Arabidopsis thaliana: one gene and its partners. The protein of the gene in region 1 interacts with the protein of each later gene in a pairwise test. Each region holds a gene or a part of one and is shown in the gene's direction. Other genes may lie near its edges.

Region 1 (3,312 bases):
ACATGGTGACATAAGTATAAATGATATTATCATGATTCACCTACCTGCAGGAGATCCATCTATTGGGATCAGAAAATCCGTTATACTATTATATAGCATGTAAACTCTACAATTATGTTATCATCTCCCACACAATGAGAGGGATTTCCAAAACAGATTTAACAAATGTTACTTCTTATAAGCATACGTCTTGTTTTATATTGAACACGCAAGCCTCTAGCGACTAGCATCTCTGTATTTCATGATCAAGTTTATACATATACTTTTTTATTTGTTATACTCTTTATGTTTTTTTTAATAAAAAAAATTGTTTTGGATGAATATGAAAAGAATAAGAAACTAGAAATAACTTTTTGATTAATAATAGTTCAATAATATGAGTACTAATTATTAATTTAAAACACAAATGTTGTATGGAAAAACAAAAACAACAACTAAAATGACAAAAAATTGTTCAACCATCTTATAAACTTTAAACGTAGGGAGCATTACTTTATACTTGTTGTAAAAACGATAATGCTTATTGGTAAAATAACCCATATACATTTTGATTTGTCAATATGTTCATATATGATCTAGTTTTTGTTCTCGTTGTCGCTAGATAGACAATAAAATTTCTTAGTGGACAGTGATTGTGGAATGAATATACGCCCAACACAAATATAAACATCAAATTAAGGTGCATGCGGTATGGGAATTGCAAGTTAAATGAACATAGTTATGCGTAATTTCGAGAAGGGATTAATTGTATTACCTTGCTCGAAATACCACATGGGCCGTGTCCCCAAAAGCCCATTTAAAATGGTTTTTTTTTTTTTTTAAATCATCTCTTTAGATATTTTTTTCAACTCTTTTTCAACAAAATATATAGTTTCATATAGATATTTGTATTTATAATAAATGTTAAAATGAAATTTTACACAATAATTAAAATAAAATAAATAGAAAAAATGTTATTTGAGACAGCATATCACATGGCCTTACCATACTTCCTGCATCCATTATTCCATTAAGAACACTCTTCACCCTCATCCACATGCATCTCCCTCCCCAATTTATTTACTATTGATCATAATTGTACAAACCTATACTTACAATTTATATATGTGTCTACGAGAAAATAAATAATATTTTACAGTGTTTTGTCTATTATTTTGTTCTATAGTTTCTTGCAAACAAAACATTACTTTTCACGCAAAAACTGTCGAAATATTTATAAAAGGAAATTGTTAATTCTTCGATACAAATTGACCATTAATATTTGATCATCTATTCTAGACATCTACTCTACCATATACCAAACCTTTACACAAAAATGAAATATTTTCATGAAAACTACCCCACAACTGGGGTGATCGAAAAAGCTTGATCTATATGATCAACATGTCCAACACTAGTTTCATTTTTTCTACTATGATATCCGATGATCCAATCTGAACTATACAAAATGTATCTAGATATTTTCTTGAATCAATCCGAATAACGAATAGTTGCAAAACATAAACCTAGCGTGATCGTGTGGTAGAAGGACGAAGGTCGAGAAGTTCTCTTACTCTTATGATTTTCTCTTTACTCATTTGACCGTAAGAGAAAGAAACGGCTAGGATCTCGCGTACGCAACTGGCGGAGACAAATCAGGACCGTTGAAAATAAGAAAGAAGCCGCGTCCAAAATCTTTGTGTCCCACCTTTGTCCCCTTGCCTCTAACTTGCCTCCTCATGCTCCCCGACAACGTCATAATTCATATCTCTCTCTCTCTCTCGTTAACCCTAATTTCAAAGCATCTTTCCTTATATAAATCTCTCTCTCTCCCTCACCATTACACAACACACACAAGCATTTTCAAGGATATCAAATCACAATCCCAAGAAGAGCAATAACAAGAGAAGAAGAAGTAGTTCAAGAATTAAGGAAGAGAGCTTCTCCGTTAAAGTATAGTGAGAGAATATGGAAGTCACCAATGGGCTTAACCTTAAGGACACAGAGCTTCGTTTGGGATTACCCGGAGCACAAGAAGAACAACAACTAGAACTTTCTTGCGTCAGAAGCAACAACAAGCGCAAGAACAACGACTCAACAGAAGAATCTGCTCCTCCTCCTGCAAAGTAAGTTGAGATCTGAAAGTTATAGTTTTAATATCCAAACTTCTTGATATCAATCGGTGTACTAATAATGAATCTTGATTTGTAAACTTCAGAACACAAATCGTTGGATGGCCTCCAGTGAGATCTAACCGTAAGAACAACAACAACAAAAACGTGAGTTATGTGAAAGTGAGTATGGACGGAGCTCCATATCTCCGTAAGATAGATCTCAAGATGTACAAAAACTATCCAGAGCTTCTCAAAGCACTAGAGAACATGTTCAAGTTCACAGTAGGTGAATATTCCGAGAGAGAAGGCTACAAAGGATCTGGATTTGTACCTACTTATGAAGACAAAGATGGAGATTGGATGTTGGTCGGTGATGTTCCATGGGACATGTTCTCTTCATCTTGTCAAAAACTCAGAATCATGAAAGGATCCGAAGCTCCTACTGCCTTATGATCCATTGTCTCAAAACACCTTTTGGTCGAGGCAAAAACAAATTCTACTTTGTTTAGATAAAAAAAAGTTTGGTGTAAAGAAAGAAAAAGCAATAGGGTTACAAATACGTTATATAGATGTAAACTAGCTTTGGTTAATTCTGTAAAAGATGAGTTTTGATTATACGAAGTTTATATGTATGCTCAAGATATTTGATACTAACATAACCAATAAAGTTTAGTATTTGATACTAACATAAGTTTGGGACATAGTGAAAGATATAAAATTTTGGATTAAGAAATGGGCAATGTAATGGATATCACTATCGAAAGTTTTCAACTTTTTTTTGTTTTGTTTAATATTAGATGGCGAGAATCTTTAGTCACTACCCAATAACTTGCTCCACCAATTTGGGATTTGACTTGAGCTCTTCTCATCGTCATCTTCGTCGCCTTCTTTTCCGATCTACTTTCATCACTCCTTCACTCACTCAGTCTCCGTAAGCTCTTCTTCTTCTTCTCTCAGTCTCTGTTTTTCAATCCGAAAATTCATTACTTTGATGGTGTTACCACGAATTGAGAATCATTGATGGTATTGCTTTGATGGGTATCGTTTATATGACAGTTTTTAATCCGAAAGTTTATTACTTTGATTGGTTTTTTGTTTGTTCTGTTTTAACGAATTTGAAGCCAATCATATCTACTAAGAACTTGATTGGTTTAGAGTTATGGATGATGAATCTGATTAATGGAATTGTTTTGCAATCATTAGTGATTTATGAGATACT
Region 2 (7,237 bases), on another chromosome or scaffold:
ATTGAAACATAACAAAAATTAATAGTTTAACATGATAATTGACATATGTTGATTATACTAAATAAATTATTTGTAAAATAGGGGGGAGAGAGAAATATGAAGTAACAAAAACAAAAAAGAAAAGAAATGAGAAGATGTCTCTAAAAGCGAATTTTTAATTATTTATTACTCACCTAGTCACCTTATTTGTCATTTTTAATTTTTTATGTTAAGTAATTCTGAAATCTTCCATTGTTTTCACTAAATTCACCCATAATTCTATATATCCATTTTTTAAAACATAACTTGTGAAATCTAGTGTATATAATAACTAATAACTGTTATATTTTTATATTTGTTTGTGTGGGAAAATGTTAAGTAATAACTGTTATTTTGTATAACATGTTCTCTGTATATAATAAACAAGCACTAGGGTACTAGCTATAAGCTACGTTTCTAATTTGTCGCAAATTTTTAAGGTTTTGCTTAAGAATTAGTTGCATAAACAAATGCTAGTTGGATACTTTTGATGCTGATGTTTTATGTACGTATATCACTTTCTTGCATAAAAACACATTAGCCGAATTTTCTAGCAACTGACAATAATGCAACTGAATTTAATACAAATAAATAAATAAAATCTACAAAAGATATGGCGATGGTACTGATCTATTTGTATATAATGCTGTTTCCAACGTTACCCTTGTTTACGTCAAGAAGTTGCACGTGCCTTCTTAGGGCAGTCTTGTCATTTCCCCTAGGTAAATGATCACTATCTCCATTGTTTGGAATCAAAATTCATGTTCTCTAAATTTTTTTCTTTCTTTCGGATAAAATTATCTAATTAAAATTTATTGGAATCTTAAGAAAAAACACGTATATTCTTTATTACAATATATAGCTGAAGAAATCAGATTCGCAAATTTCCAAACGAGGAAGTGTGTATTATACATATATATTACCAATTATACCCTCTTCTACATGCAATTCGAACTACTATTATATACATAAAAAAAAAAAAAATAGAATCAGGAAACCCTAAAAGCACGTCCTGTCATTTTTATCAGGTGATTTCACTGTCTATATATATTGACTTATTGCTATATTCTATATAAAATAAATTTTGCTGTAATTCGCACACTTCCATTTTCACATTACACAATCAAATAATGAGGCAAAATAAAATAGCCAATGAAAGAGTACTTATGTACTCCAAACAGAACTTTTAAACCTTGACCAGTAAACCAAAGGATTTCTACAGCAATGATATTTTTCCTAAAACAAATTGATTCATTTTATTTGCAATAGTTCACTAAAACTCTAGTATAAAAAAGCCTTTGGTCATCCACTAGCTGAAAAAAATCTACAACAACACATAATTTTTATAAAACTACTATGACAAAGAAAAAAAAAAGAGTAAGAAATACGATCATGTAATACTATAATATATGATGGTACCATAACGTATTATTATTTTTTTTTTTTTCCTTTGTACCATAACGTATTATTAAAACCATAATAGTACTCAATTTTAATTACATGGACGACGCAACGAAGTTTTGAAATTCGGGAGAAGCATAAATTAAAAAAAGGCACGAGTCCCAAACTGTAAATAAAAAGGAAATAAGGGGTAAATTAGTAAATTAAGTGTCCTTTCAGAACAACAAGTTGCTTTAGAAGAAAATCAAAGACCCGCTCCGTTCGGGTTCGGGTCAAAAAACAGCCATTGTCGTTCTTTCTTCTTCTTCTGATTCTCATTTCAAATAAGAGAGAGAGAGAGAGAAGTAAGTAAAACTTTAGCAGAGAGAAGAATAAACAAATAATTATAGCACCGTCACGTCGCCGCCGTATTTCGTTACCGGAAAAAAAAAATCATTCTTCAACATAAAAATAAAAACAGTCTCTTTCTTTCTATCTTTGTCTATCTTTGATTATTCTCTGTGTACCCATGTTCTGCAACAGTTGAGCAAGTGCATGCCCCATATCTCTCTGTTTCTCATTTCCCGATCTTTGCATTAATCATATACTTCGCCTGAGATCTCGATTAAGCCAGCTTATAGAAGAAGAAACGGCACCAGCTTCTGTCGTTTTAGTTAGCTCGAGATCTGTGTTTCTTTTTTTCTTGGCTTCTGAGCTTTTGGCGGTGGTGGGTTTTTCTGGAGAAACCCAAACGACTATCAAAGTTTTGTTTTTTACAATTTTAAGTGGGAGTTATGAGTGGGGTGGATTAAGTAAGTTACAAGTATGAAGGAGTTGAAGATTCGAAGAAGCGGTTTTGAAGTCGGCGAGACCAAGATTGCGAGCTTATTTGGCTGATGATTTATTTCAGGGAAGAAGAAATAAATCTGTTTTTTTTAGGGTTTTTAGATTTGGTTGGTGAATGGGTGGGAGGTGGAGGGAAACAGTTAAAAAAGTTATGCTTTTAGTGTCTCTTCTTCATAATTACATTTGGGCATCTTGAAATCTTTGGATCTTTGAAGAAACAAAGTTGTGTTTTTTTTTTTGTTCTTTGTTGTTTGCTTTTTAAGTTAGAATAAAAAATGAGATTATCTTCAGCTGGGTTTAATCCTCAACCTCATGAAGGTAATTCTCTCTTTTCTCTCTCTATTGCTTTGATACTTCTAGCAAATAGTGATTTTAAACTAACTTTGTGAGTTTTGGATTGAAAGTTACAGGAGAGAAAAGAGTTCTTAATTCTGAGCTCTGGCATGCTTGTGCTGGTCCTCTTGTCTCACTACCTCCTGTTGGAAGCAGAGTTGTGTATTTTCCTCAAGGTCACAGTGAACAGGTTTTTGTCTCCTTCCTTTTATGATTTGGATTCAAATCTTTCCTTTTTGGTTACAGGTTACTTGAGAATGTTTTGTGGTTTTCAGGTTGCTGCTTCGACCAACAAAGAAGTAGATGCTCATATACCAAATTATCCGAGCTTGCATCCGCAGCTTATCTGTCAGCTTCATAATGTTACAATGCATGTAAGGAACTCACTATCAGTTTTTATGACAAACTTTTCTAAGTGTCTTTTCTGTTTGTGTGTTAGTTAAGAACTTGATTCCTTACCATTTCAGGCTGATGTGGAGACTGATGAAGTCTATGCACAGATGACTTTGCAACCGTTGAATGCGGTATGAGACTTTACTATGTAATTCATAATTAATTTTGTGGAATTTGTCGGTGTTTTGAACCTTCTTTGCTTGGTTTGAATGCAGCAAGAGCAAAAAGATCCTTACCTTCCCGCGGAATTAGGTGTCCCAAGTAGACAGCCTACAAACTATTTCTGTAAAACTCTGACTGCTAGTGATACAAGCACTCACGGAGGTTTTTCTGTACCTCGCCGAGCTGCTGAGAAAGTTTTCCCTCCCTTGGTAATTCATCTTATTGTTCATATGAATTCTACTTTCAAGATTAGCTATTGCCTCCTTAACAATAAAATTTTATGTGTTCTTCAGGATTACTCGCAGCAGCCACCAGCTCAAGAGTTAATGGCGAGGGATCTGCATGATAATGAATGGAAGTTCAGGCATATTTTCCGAGGTTAGCTTTCTTCGTGAAAAATCCAAGTTCTTATTAATAGCTGAAGAACAAAGAGATTTATTTAATCTGTATTTGTTTCTGCGTTATAGGCCAACCAAAGAGACATCTCCTTACCACGGGTTGGAGCGTATTTGTGAGTGCTAAAAGGCTTGTTGCTGGTGACTCTGTTCTTTTCATCTGGTTAGAAACATCTTTCAAATTGGGGTTTTTGTTTAAGTGTTACATTCAAATCATGAAACTGACTCAAGTATTTGTAATGCTAGGAACGATAAGAATCAATTACTTCTTGGTATAAGACGAGCCAACCGACCACAAACTGTCATGCCTTCATCTGTTTTGTCAAGTGACAGTATGCATTTAGGCCTTCTTGCTGCAGCAGCTCATGCTGCCGCTACAAACAGCCGATTCACCATCTTCTATAACCCGAGGTATCGTCTTAAGTACCTTATGAATGCACTTATGTGTTGATTCTCTTCGTTTTGCATCAAACGGATTCGGTTTTTCTGCAGGGCGAGTCCATCAGAGTTTGTTATACCCCTGGCTAAGTATGTGAAAGCGGTTTATCACACTCGCGTCTCTGTTGGTATGCGGTTTAGGATGCTGTTTGAAACTGAAGAATCTAGTGTTCGTCGGTAGGTGAATTATCAGAGTTCCTATAATTTACTCTGCTTTTTGCTGCTGAATGTCCTTAAGAATCTTCGTTTGTTGTCAGGTACATGGGTACAATAACTGGCATTTGTGATCTAGATCCTACTCGTTGGGCTAATTCGCATTGGCGATCTGTCAAGGTTTAGCTCAAAACCAAACCTTTAGTAGAAAATATTCATTGGTCTTTGCATTCTCGTATACATATATCATTCATCATCTGATCAAAATGCAGGTTGGGTGGGACGAATCTACTGCAGGAGAGAGACAGCCAAGGGTTTCATTGTGGGAGATTGAGCCTTTAACAACATTCCCTATGTATCCATCTCCTTTTCCTCTCAGGCTTAAACGGCCGTGGCCTCCTGGTCTCCCATCTTTCCATGGTATTGTAAATTTCAAAACTTTAACAAATCTCTGAAAGGTTTCTATTTCTAGTCTTTTATATCTTCTAATTTTGGTTGCAGGCCTTAAAGAAGATGATATGGGTATGAGTATGAGTTCACCGCTTATGTGGGATCGAGGACTCCAATCTCTAAACTTTCAAGGTATGGGAGTAAACCCGTGGATGCAGCCGAGACTTGATACGTCGGGCTTGCTTGGTATGCAAAATGATGTGTACCAAGCAATGGCTGCAGCTGCCCTTCAAGACATGAGAGGCATTGATCCTGCAAAAGCTGCTGCTTCACTTCTTCAGTTCCAAAATTCGCCGGGGTTCTCAATGCAATCTCCGTCCTTAGTGCAGCCGCAGATGCTGCAGCAGCAACTCTCTCAGCAGCAGCAACAACTCTCTCAGCAGCAGCAGCAGCAGCAACAGCTCTCCCAACAGCAGCAGCAACAGCTCTCTCAACAGCAGCAGCAGCAGCTCTCTCAACAGCAGCAGCAACAACTCTCTCAGCAGCAGCAGCAACAGGCGTATCTTGGCGTTCCTGAAACCCACCAGCCTCAGTCTCAGGCTCAATCACAGTCAAACAATCATCTTTCTCAGCAGCAGCAGCAAGTAGTGGATAATCATAATCCGTCTGCGTCCAGTGCTGCTGTTGTTTCCGCTATGTCTCAATTTGGTTCTGCTTCTCAGCCCAACACGTCACCACTCCAGTCCATGACCTCTCTGTGTCATCAGCAAAGCTTCTCCGATACCAACGGAGGAAACAATCCTATTTCTCCACTTCACACTCTTCTCAGTAACTTCTCTCAAGACGAATCTTCTCAACTGCTCCACCTCACTAGAACAAACTCTGCAATGACTTCATCCGGTTGGCCATCAAAGCGTCCTGCAGTTGATTCATCGTTCCAGCACTCTGGAGCCGGTAATAATAACACTCAATCCGTATTGGAGCAACTGGGACAGTCCCACACAAGCAACGTTCCTCCAAACGCTGTCTCGTTGCCTCCATTTCCCGGTGGTAGAGAGTGCTCGATCGAGCAAGAAGGAAGCGCCTCAGACCCGCATAGCCATCTTCTCTTTGGAGTCAATATAGATTCATCTTCTCTTTTGATGCCGAACGGAATGTCAAACCTTAGAAGCATTGGTATTGAAGGTGGTGACTCCACGACTTTACCCTTCACATCATCTAATTTCAACAATGATTTCTCGGGTAATCTTGCAATGACAACACCTTCTAGTTGCATAGATGAATCGGGTTTTCTACAATCCTCAGAAAACCTCGGTTCCGAGAACCCACAATCTAACACCTTTGTGAAGGTAAAGTTTTATTTCTTTTCCCTACCCAAAATGTTCTTCTTGTTTGCATGCATAGCGATGATTCCGGAAATGTTTTTGTAGGTGTACAAGTCAGGGTCTTTTGGAAGATCGTTAGATATATCAAAGTTTAGCAGCTACCACGAGCTGCGAAGCGAGCTTGCTCGCATGTTTGGCCTCGAAGGCCAATTAGAAGACCCTGTGAGATCAGGCTGGCAGCTTGTATTTGTTGACCGAGAGAACGACGTTCTTCTCCTCGGCGATGACCCTTGGCCGTGAGTTTATTAACTTATCCCTCATTTCCGCATTTGGTTTTGTCCATTTCCATGTTTATTTACCTGCATTTACCATTATCGACAGGGAGTTTGTGAGCAGCGTGTGGTGCATTAAGATACTGTCACCACAAGAAGTGCAACAAATGGGAAAAAGAGGCCTTGAGCTTCTCAACTCCGCGCCATCTTCCAACAATGTCGATAAGCTCCCGAGCAACGGGAACTGTGACGACTTTGGGAACCGGTCAGACCCGAGGAATCTCGGTAACGGTATCGCATCAGTTGGGGGTTCATTCAACTACTAGAAGTAGATGGAAACCTCCCTTTTTATTCAAGTTAAGTTTCAATCTTATAAATTAGTAGTGAGATCATCTTAGTTTAATTACTAGCAAAAATCTCTCTTTATTACTTATAAAAAAGGGAGATTTGCCTTTGCCTTTGATGGAAACAAAAACTATATAATCCCTCTGTCGACTCGTAATACTGTAATTATAAGATCTTTTGGTCTTTTTCTTATATGAATATTTTTACTGAACTCTATATATGTCACTTTCCTTACTCATTTCTTCAATCAATATGATAGTGAAGGGTTATTTTGGAGTTACATTAAGACTTTGTCTGACTAAAATGGTCCACAGAGAAAGTGATTTGGGTCCCAATCTCCTTATTGGAAGTGAAAGCGTTTTGTGGTTTTGTTGTGTGAAACACCAAAATATTCCGACCCGCAATTTGGGGCTTTACCCTAAAATTAGATCTCATTTTGCGTCAGCAAAAACTTTATCTCTAGACACGTATCGATCCGTAGTTCGTAGGACATTTTTATTGGTAGGTAAATTAATATATGCCCTTATCGTTTATAGTAAGTTTTTTTTTTCACAATATCGTTTATAGTAAGTTTAGTTTTCACCAAAGAATATGAAACGAAATTTGTAGAATGAGTATGGTTTTTGTTTGCGTCTTCATGTTAAGATAATTAGAATATTATAACATGGTAAAAAAGGAAATCTAACTCCTATTAACTTGAGAAAATAAACGTCATTTCGATAATTGATCGAAATTGTTGTGAATTTGGAAAATATCTTGCAATATAACTTTTTCTTGTTCGGTTTTA
Region 3 (7,867 bases), on another chromosome or scaffold:
CCACAACTCTCTCTTACATACAAATTAACAAATAATGCATATCAGAATGACATAGTAAAGTCGAGAAAATCATGGAATCGTAACGAAACTTCCTCGTCTCTCTCTGATAATTCATCCAACTCAAGTGGTGTATTTTGTGGTTACATTTACATATATTGTCAACACCAACTGTCGAATTCATTAAATCGGCTAAAATACGTTGATGTGATTCTGGAAATATCTTTAGGACAGTATATGAGTTATTCATCTTGTTCATTTTCCACTTTCCACTGCGGACACCATACGGACACACAACCGGTTCTGAAATGCGTCACGCTCTTCTTCCTTTCATTCCAACTTTAATACATGCATGAAGTCGTAGTTCGGAGTTCATACTAAATTTCGGTCACTTTGTAATAAGAAAACTATTAACATTTTTCTTTTTCTTTTTTTAAACGTTAGCTAGGCCTCAAAGTTTCACAAAAAAAAAAGAAAAAAAAAAGCTAGGCGTCGAAATCCATAACTTCAAAAGGCCTTCTTACATTCATCCAATCTCCAAACTTCTGTCTTCACGCATTTATTGCTCAGGGACATCATGTCGCTACTCACTGCCACTTATTTGAATTGACATCCATTCATTCCATACATATATATTACCTTCACTTAAAGTTGTAAGTATATAGAATTTTAAGCATTCCTGCCAAATAAGTTTTGGATCGAACCTAAACTAACAAAGAGGTTACTGTTTTGTAACTTTCTTTTTTGATGTGGGGTCATTCAAAGGGTTTACATGCATTTTACAATGGTCTGTGATGAATATGGAGGTTCAGTCTTTGGTAGATAAAACTTGTTATGTGGCCTTAAACCAAATAGATTGTAGTTTGTACAATGACATATTTATGGTTATATTCGGTTTTCCAATATGTTTAGGAATATATATCACCGTTTTTTTTTGGGTAGACATTTTAACGATTATAGAGGAAAATTTTGAATGATGGCTGTACTGGGAAAAGAGTGTAAGTTGTGATCATCATATGTAATTTTATTTTGTGTGACATTATAACACTTCTTCCAAAAGACAAAAGTTTAGGTTAATTAATATAAGAAACCAATAAAGAATCATGAACAAAGAGAGAACTTCTATCATTTTTGATATGAAATCGTCCGTTAAAATATTGTTCTTTGTGATCGCATATGCTGTATGTACTTAGATTTGATCAATTAATCAACATTTACAACAAAATAAGATCAATTGTTTATAATGATGATCTAAGCGAATTTAGATTTGTTTGTTATTATAGAACTCATTACTAAACATTTAAGTTCCATTCTCGTTTAAAACATGAACGCTAGTTTATGAAACTCAGAACCAACCATGTAAAACTCCACAAAATTTCTAGTAAAATGCTTTTGTTCAAAATAATGAAAATCATAAAATTTTTTGATGAATTATGAATCCTAAAATCTATCTGAATTAAATATAGTTAACTACAAAAGAAATTGCCAAACATATATGTACGCACTTTGATCAAATAACTAGCTAGTCAGCTTAGTTTGTTTTTTTCAATACATCCCCTATAAATCTATGTTATCCCTAATCAAGTATTACAATAAATGATACAGTAATAATAACCTTAATGAAAAAAACTTATCAAATTATCAGAGATAAGGAAAAAGAAAACACTAATAAAGTTGTTTTTTTGTGTGTCAAAGTTAAAATTTTAGAGGACAATAATAACATTAAGAAATTAAATCGTGGCCAGTTTGCTAGTGAATATGTCGGCTTCATGAGCATAACTAAATAGGTATAAAAAAATAAAAATATCGGAAAAAGAAAAGAGAAGGAAAAAAAAAGGAGAGGAAGAAGAAAAAGCTGTTCCTGTGCTTTAGCAGACCTTTTGGTAGTTGTCCTGGTCGCTGATCATCCCTTTCCGACAACTCTGTTGCTCTTTCTCTCACGTTTGAGTCTTAATCTTCGATTGTCCTTGGTCATCCTTAAGTTTTGTTTTTCTCTTTCGATTCATTTTCCAGATTTCTTTTTATAGAAACCCGTCTCTTTGATTTGATTCCCCCCAAGAAAGGAAAGCAAAACAAAGAAGAGCAGCTGAATCAAGTAACTTTGTGGGTGTTTTTGAATTATCTGACTCGAGATAAAGAGCTTCGTTAAAAACGGAATCTTTTTTAAGGTCGTATGCTTTGTTTGTCTCTCCGGAGATTCCGCGTGTGAAAAGTCGTGGTTTTTGATCTCTTTGAGATACTTAAAATTTCCGAGAAATTGGCGGCTCTGTCGGAGATAAAAAGCTGAGATCTTGGAGTTCCCCATTTCTGATTAACGATTCTCTCTGCTGTTACTTGAGCTAGGAAGCTATTAACAACTTGAGTGAAAGTTTAGGGCTTTTGATGAAGCTCTCACGCAAAGAGCTTAGCTTTGTATAAGCTCAGATTCAGATTATTTATTGGGTTTATTCTTCAGAGAAAGTAAAGTTGAGTGATCATGAAAGCTCCTTCATCAAATGGAGTTTCTCCTAATCCTGTTGAAGGTTTGTGTGTTTCTCGTATCTGATAAATGTCAATCCTTTAGTAGAAGAAATTCATTGCTGGATTTGAATAGATTCAAGTTTTAAGTAGAAGAGGTCACACATTTCTTCAGAATTGCTGGATTTGAGAACCTGAATTGAATTGGTTTCGGTCATTTTCTGCTTAGAGAGTAAGCTAAGTTACTATTGTATTGGTTTATAAAGACTGTGGCTTTTAGTTGGTTTAGAGCAGTTCTCTCCTATCTTGTTGGTTTGATAATAGTAACTGAATGAAGATCCTAGAGATTTTAAGTAATCACAGCTTTGATGTTGTGTGAATGCAGGAGAAAGGAGAAATATAAACTCAGAGCTATGGCACGCTTGTGCTGGGCCATTGATTTCGTTGCCTCCAGCAGGAAGTCTTGTTGTTTACTTCCCTCAAGGTCACAGTGAGCAAGTATGTTGTTCAATAAAGTTTGGTATCATTCGCGGCTGATCAAGAATGAGTCGCTGATTGGAAATTTCATGTGGTTGCTATTTATTTTTCTGTTTCTTAGGTCGCGGCTTCAATGCAGAAGCAGACTGATTTCATACCAAGTTACCCGAATCTTCCTTCCAAGCTCATATGCATGCTCCACAATGTTACACTGAATGTATGGTATCTTTTAAATATCTATAATGGCCTCTTAGGCTAGTTGTTTTAACATTTTTTGCTTTTGAGTTGCTAATGTTTTGCTAATTGTCGACTGTGAACCAGGCTGATCCTGAGACGGATGAGGTCTATGCGCAGATGACTCTTCAGCCAGTAAACAAAGTAGCTTACCTTTCACTGAATAACTCGATTTATAGGTGTATTTAAGGAGTAGGGAGGGACTAATTGCTCTGAGCATTTTGTTGAACAGTATGACAGAGATGCATTGCTTGCTTCTGACATGGGTCTTAAGCTAAACAGACAACCTAATGAATTTTTCTGCAAAACCCTCACGGCGAGTGACACAAGTACTCACGGTGGATTTTCTGTACCCCGACGAGCTGCTGAGAAAATCTTTCCTGCTCTGGTGTATATACAATACTTTCTTATACATCTGATAGTTAGTATCTCTGTATTGCCTTAGTTTCTTACATTGTTGGCAATATTTTACTAGGATTTCTCGATGCAACCACCTTGTCAGGAGCTTGTTGCTAAGGATATTCATGACAACACATGGACTTTCAGACATATTTATCGAGGTTTTACCTTGTTTTTGGTAGATTACCTTCTTTAATCAATTTGGCTTTCGTAGAATTGTTCTTACGTTTTGGATATGTTGACATTTATCAGGTCAACCAAAAAGGCACTTGCTAACTACAGGCTGGAGTGTGTTTGTCAGCACGAAAAGGCTCTTTGCTGGAGACTCTGTTCTTTTTATAAGGTATATCAATCTCAATGTGCCAATGCTCTCTTTCGGTATTTTTTTTTGTCAAGATGCTAATTCTTTTTTTCTTTCAATTAAGAGATGGAAAGGCGCAACTTCTGTTGGGGATAAGACGTGCAAATAGACAACAGCCTGCACTTTCTTCATCTGTAATATCAAGTGATAGCATGCACATCGGAGTTCTTGCAGCTGCAGCTCATGCTAATGCTAATAACAGTCCTTTCACCATTTTCTACAACCCGAGGTGGCGATCTATGTTTCCTTTTGTCTACGTTAACCTTACTATATATGCTTGTTTCATGGCAATTGCTGAGAGATTTACAACCGAGTTTTTTCAGGGCTGCTCCTGCTGAGTTTGTGGTTCCTTTAGCCAAGTATACCAAAGCGATGTACGCTCAAGTTTCCCTCGGTATGCGGTTTAGAATGATATTTGAGACTGAAGAATGTGGAGTTCGTCGGTATATGGGTACAGTTACCGGTATCAGTGATCTTGATCCAGTGAGATGGAAAAACTCTCAGTGGCGGAATCTTCAGGTAGTTTGAAGTAAAACTCATGATGAATGTCAGATTTGTCTTTCTTGATACATTGCACCATTCATTTTAGTTATGCTTTGTTTCTGTTTCTGCTAAAGATTGGATGGGATGAGTCAGCTGCTGGTGATAGGCCCAGTCGAGTTTCAGTTTGGGACATTGAACCGGTTTTAACTCCTTTCTACATATGTCCTCCTCCATTTTTCCGACCTCGCTTTTCTGGACAACCTGGAATGCCAGGTAAATTTTTGTACCATTTCATTTCGACACAACTTCTTTGAATCTCCTCAAGGACGGAATTTCCGGTGCTCTTGCAGATGATGAGACTGACATGGAGTCTGCACTGAAGAGAGCAATGCCATGGCTTGATAATAGCTTAGAGATGAAAGACCCTTCGAGTACTATCTTTCCTGGTCTGAGTTTAGTTCAGTGGATGAATATGCAGCAGCAGAACGGCCAGCTACCCTCTGCTGCTGCACAGCCAGGTTTCTTCCCATCAATGCTTTCGCCAACCGCGGCGCTGCACAACAATCTTGGCGGCACTGATGATCCCTCCAAGTTACTGAGCTTTCAGACGCCGCACGGGGGGATTTCCTCCTCAAATCTCCAATTTAACAAACAGAATCAGCAAGCCCCAATGTCTCAGTTGCCTCAGCCACCAACTACGTTGTCCCAACAACAGCAGCTGCAGCAATTGTTGCACTCCTCTTTGAACCATCAACAACAGCAATCGCAGTCTCAACAACAGCAACAACAACAACAGTTGCTGCAGCAGCAACAACAATTGCAGTCTCAACAACACAGCAACAACAATCAATCGCAGTCTCAGCAACAACAACAATTGCTCCAGCAGCAACAACAACAACAACTGCAGCAACAACATCAACAACCGTTACAGCAACAGACTCAGCAGCAGCAGCTAAGAACACAGCCATTGCAATCTCACTCGCATCCACAGCCACAACAGTTACAACAACATAAGTTGCAGCAACTTCAGGTTCCACAGAATCAGCTTTACAATGGTCAACAAGCAGCGCAGCAGCATCAGTCGCAACAAGCATCTACACATCATTTGCAACCACAATTAGTTTCGGGATCAATGGCAAGCAGTGTCATCACGCCTCCGTCCAGCTCCCTTAATCAAAGCTTTCAACAGCAACAACAACAGTCTAAGCAACTTCAACAAGCACATCACCATTTAGGTGCTAGCACTAGCCAGAGTAGTGTAATTGAAACCAGCAAGTCTTCATCCAATCTGATGTCCGCACCGCCGCAAGAGACACAGTTTTCACGACAAGTAGAACAGCAGCAGCCTCCTGGTCTCAACGGGCAGAATCAGCAAACACTTTTGCAGCAGAAAGCTCACCAGGCACAGGCCCAACAGATATTCCAGCAGAGTCTCTTGGAACAGCCGCATATACAGTTTCAGCTGTTACAGAGATTACAACAGCAACAGCAGCAGCAATTTCTTTCGCCGCAGTCTCAGTTACCACACCATCAATTGCAAAGCCAGCAGTTGCAACAGCTGCCTACTCTCTCTCAAGGTCATCAGTTTCCGTCATCTTGCACTAACAATGGCTTATCGACGTTGCAACCACCTCAAATGCTGGTGAGCCGACCTCAGGAAAAACAAAACCCACCGGTTGGGGGAGGGGTCAAAGCTTATTCAGGCATCACAGATGGAGGAGATGCACCTTCCTCTTCAACGTCGCCTTCCACCAACAACTGTCAGATCTCTTCTTCAGGCTTTCTCAACAGAAGCCAAAGCGGGCCAGCGATCTTGATACCTGATGCAGCGATTGATATGTCTGGTAATCTTGTTCAGGATCTTTACAGCAAATCCGATATGCGGCTAAAACAAGAACTCGTGGGTCAGCAAAAGTCCAAAGCTAGTTTAACAGATCATCAACTAGAAGCATCTGCCTCTGGAACTTCTTACGGTTTAGATGGAGGCGAAAACAACAGACAACAAAATTTCTTGGCTCCAACTTTTGGCCTTGACGGTGATTCCAGGAACAGCTTGCTCGGTGGAGCTAATGTTGATAATGGCTTTGTGCCTGACACGCTACTCTCGAGGGGATATGACTCCCAGAAAGATCTTCAGAACATGCTTTCAAACTATGGAGGAGTGACAAATGACATTGGTACAGAGATGTCTACTTCAGCTGTAAGAACTCAATCTTTTGGTGTCCCCAATGTGCCCGCCATTTCGAACGATCTAGCTGTCAACGATGCTGGAGTTCTTGGTGGTGGATTGTGGCCAGCTCAGACTCAGCGAATGCGAACTTATACAAAGGTTCGATTGTGCTCTGATCTATGCTTGTTGATATTTGGGTTATGTTTTCGGTTTGACAAATGTTAAATTTTCCTACAGGTGCAAAAACGAGGCTCAGTGGGGAGATCAATAGACGTCAACCGTTACAGAGGTTACGATGAGCTGAGGCATGATCTAGCGCGCATGTTTGGGATCGAAGGACAGCTCGAAGATCCTCAAACATCTGACTGGAAACTTGTTTATGTCGATCATGAAAATGACATCCTCCTCGTCGGCGATGATCCATGGGAGTAAGTAGAGAGCAATTACATTCACACATCAGACTGTTAGAAGTTCCATTATTTTTTTGCTAACCTTTAAAATCGTGATTTTTGCAGAGAATTCGTAAACTGTGTTCAGAGCATTAAGATCCTTTCATCAGCTGAGGTTCAGCAGATGAGCTTAGACGGGAACTTTGCCGGTGTACCAGTTACTAATCAAGCTTGTAGTGGCGGTGACAGTGGCAATGCTTGGAGAGGTCATTATGATGATAACTCAGCCACTTCGTTTAACCGGTGATGGCAGAAGAGTTCTCTCACAGACAAAGATTCTTTTTTCTTCGTTTTGTAATATAACTTCTCGTTGATAACATGTCTCAAGTTTCCACTGGGCACTGTAGAGCATTTACCTGTAAAATATCTTCCACTAAGTTTACACGGAGATTTTATTTGCTGTGAGTCACTGTTTCTACCAAGTTTAACTGATCAACTGAAACCGCTTGTAACCAAAAAGAGAAGGAAAAACATGAAATCAGCAATAAAATCACATTTTCAAACTCAAGTCTTTATTCCAGATTATGCTCAGGCCGTTTACGGAAAAAATTTCCACAATTGGGATACAAGTTGCAGATTACAAAGATATAACATAACTAAGAAAGTATAGCCATCACATCTGAAGCTCTGAGGGCAATGTAGTTGGAACCATCTTTGCCCTTGAAGTCGTTACCAGCATACTTGGAGTAAAGTACTGTGCTTCCGGTTGATACTGGTAGAGGCGTAATTTTACCTTCCTCGTCTAGGGAACCCGGTCCAACTGCTATCACCTGCCATAAAATGAAGAGGAGAATATGTATAATTGGAACTTGTGTATGAACTGACTATCACATCAAGCTA

The links. Proteins that work in one complex are often made in the same cells at the same time.
Region 2: the proteins of IAA1 (region 1) and ARF6 interact in a two-hybrid assay, tested with the Arabidopsis thaliana proteins (2 studies listed by BioGRID).
Region 3: the proteins of IAA1 (region 1) and NPH4 interact in binary tests that used the Arabidopsis thaliana proteins (3 or more experiments, as listed by UniProt).

Annotation. Positions count from the first base shown.
Region 1 is NC_003075.7:8,359,235-8,362,546, forward strand, and holds IAA1 (indole-3-acetic acid inducible), read left to right. Parts: upstream 1-1,761; 5' UTR 1,762-1,947; coding exon 1,948-2,105; intron 2,106-2,197; coding exon 2,198-2,546; 3' UTR 2,547-2,799; downstream 2,800-3,312. Other genes in the region: AARE (acylaminoacyl-peptidase-like protein), read left to right, coding at 2,891-3,024. UniProt on the Arabidopsis thaliana protein: Aux/IAA proteins are short-lived transcriptional factors that function as repressors of early auxin response genes at low auxin concentrations.
Region 2 is NC_003070.9:10,685,319-10,692,555, reverse strand, and holds ARF6 (auxin response factor 6), read left to right. Parts: upstream 1-1,567; 5' UTR 1,568-2,519; coding exon 2,520-2,562; intron 2,563-2,648; coding exon 2,649-2,767; intron 2,768-2,852; coding exon 2,853-2,951; intron 2,952-3,044; coding exon 3,045-3,101; intron 3,102-3,185; coding exon 3,186-3,341; intron 3,342-3,425; coding exon 3,426-3,510; intron 3,511-3,599; coding exon 3,600-3,690; intron 3,691-3,773; coding exon 3,774-3,938; intron 3,939-4,019; coding exon 4,020-4,142; intron 4,143-4,222; coding exon 4,223-4,298; intron 4,299-4,390; coding exon 4,391-4,538; intron 4,539-4,619; coding exon 4,620-5,857; intron 5,858-5,938; coding exon 5,939-6,129; intron 6,130-6,214; coding exon 6,215-6,431; 3' UTR 6,432-6,734; downstream 6,735-7,237. UniProt on the Arabidopsis thaliana protein: Auxin response factors (ARFs) are transcriptional factors that bind specifically to the DNA sequence 5'-TGTCTC-3' found in the auxin-responsive promoter elements (AuxREs). Seems to act as transcriptional activator.
Region 3 is NC_003076.8:7,016,111-7,023,977, reverse strand, and holds NPH4 (Transcriptional factor B3 family protein / auxin-responsive factor AUX/IAA-like protein), read left to right. Parts: upstream 1-1,864; 5' UTR 1,865-2,473; coding exon 2,474-2,519; intron 2,520-2,839; coding exon 2,840-2,952; intron 2,953-3,052; coding exon 3,053-3,148; intron 3,149-3,252; coding exon 3,253-3,309; intron 3,310-3,397; coding exon 3,398-3,553; intron 3,554-3,640; coding exon 3,641-3,725; intron 3,726-3,816; coding exon 3,817-3,907; intron 3,908-3,989; coding exon 3,990-4,157; intron 4,158-4,248; coding exon 4,249-4,444; intron 4,445-4,542; coding exon 4,543-4,681; intron 4,682-4,758; coding exon 4,759-6,737; intron 6,738-6,815; coding exon 6,816-7,006; intron 7,007-7,093; coding exon 7,094-7,274; 3' UTR 7,275-7,508; downstream 7,509-7,867. Other genes in the region: CPN20 (chaperonin 20), read right to left, coding at 7,624-7,797. UniProt on the Arabidopsis thaliana protein: Auxin response factors (ARFs) are transcriptional factors that bind specifically to the DNA sequence 5'-TGTCTC-3' found in the auxin-responsive promoter elements (AuxREs).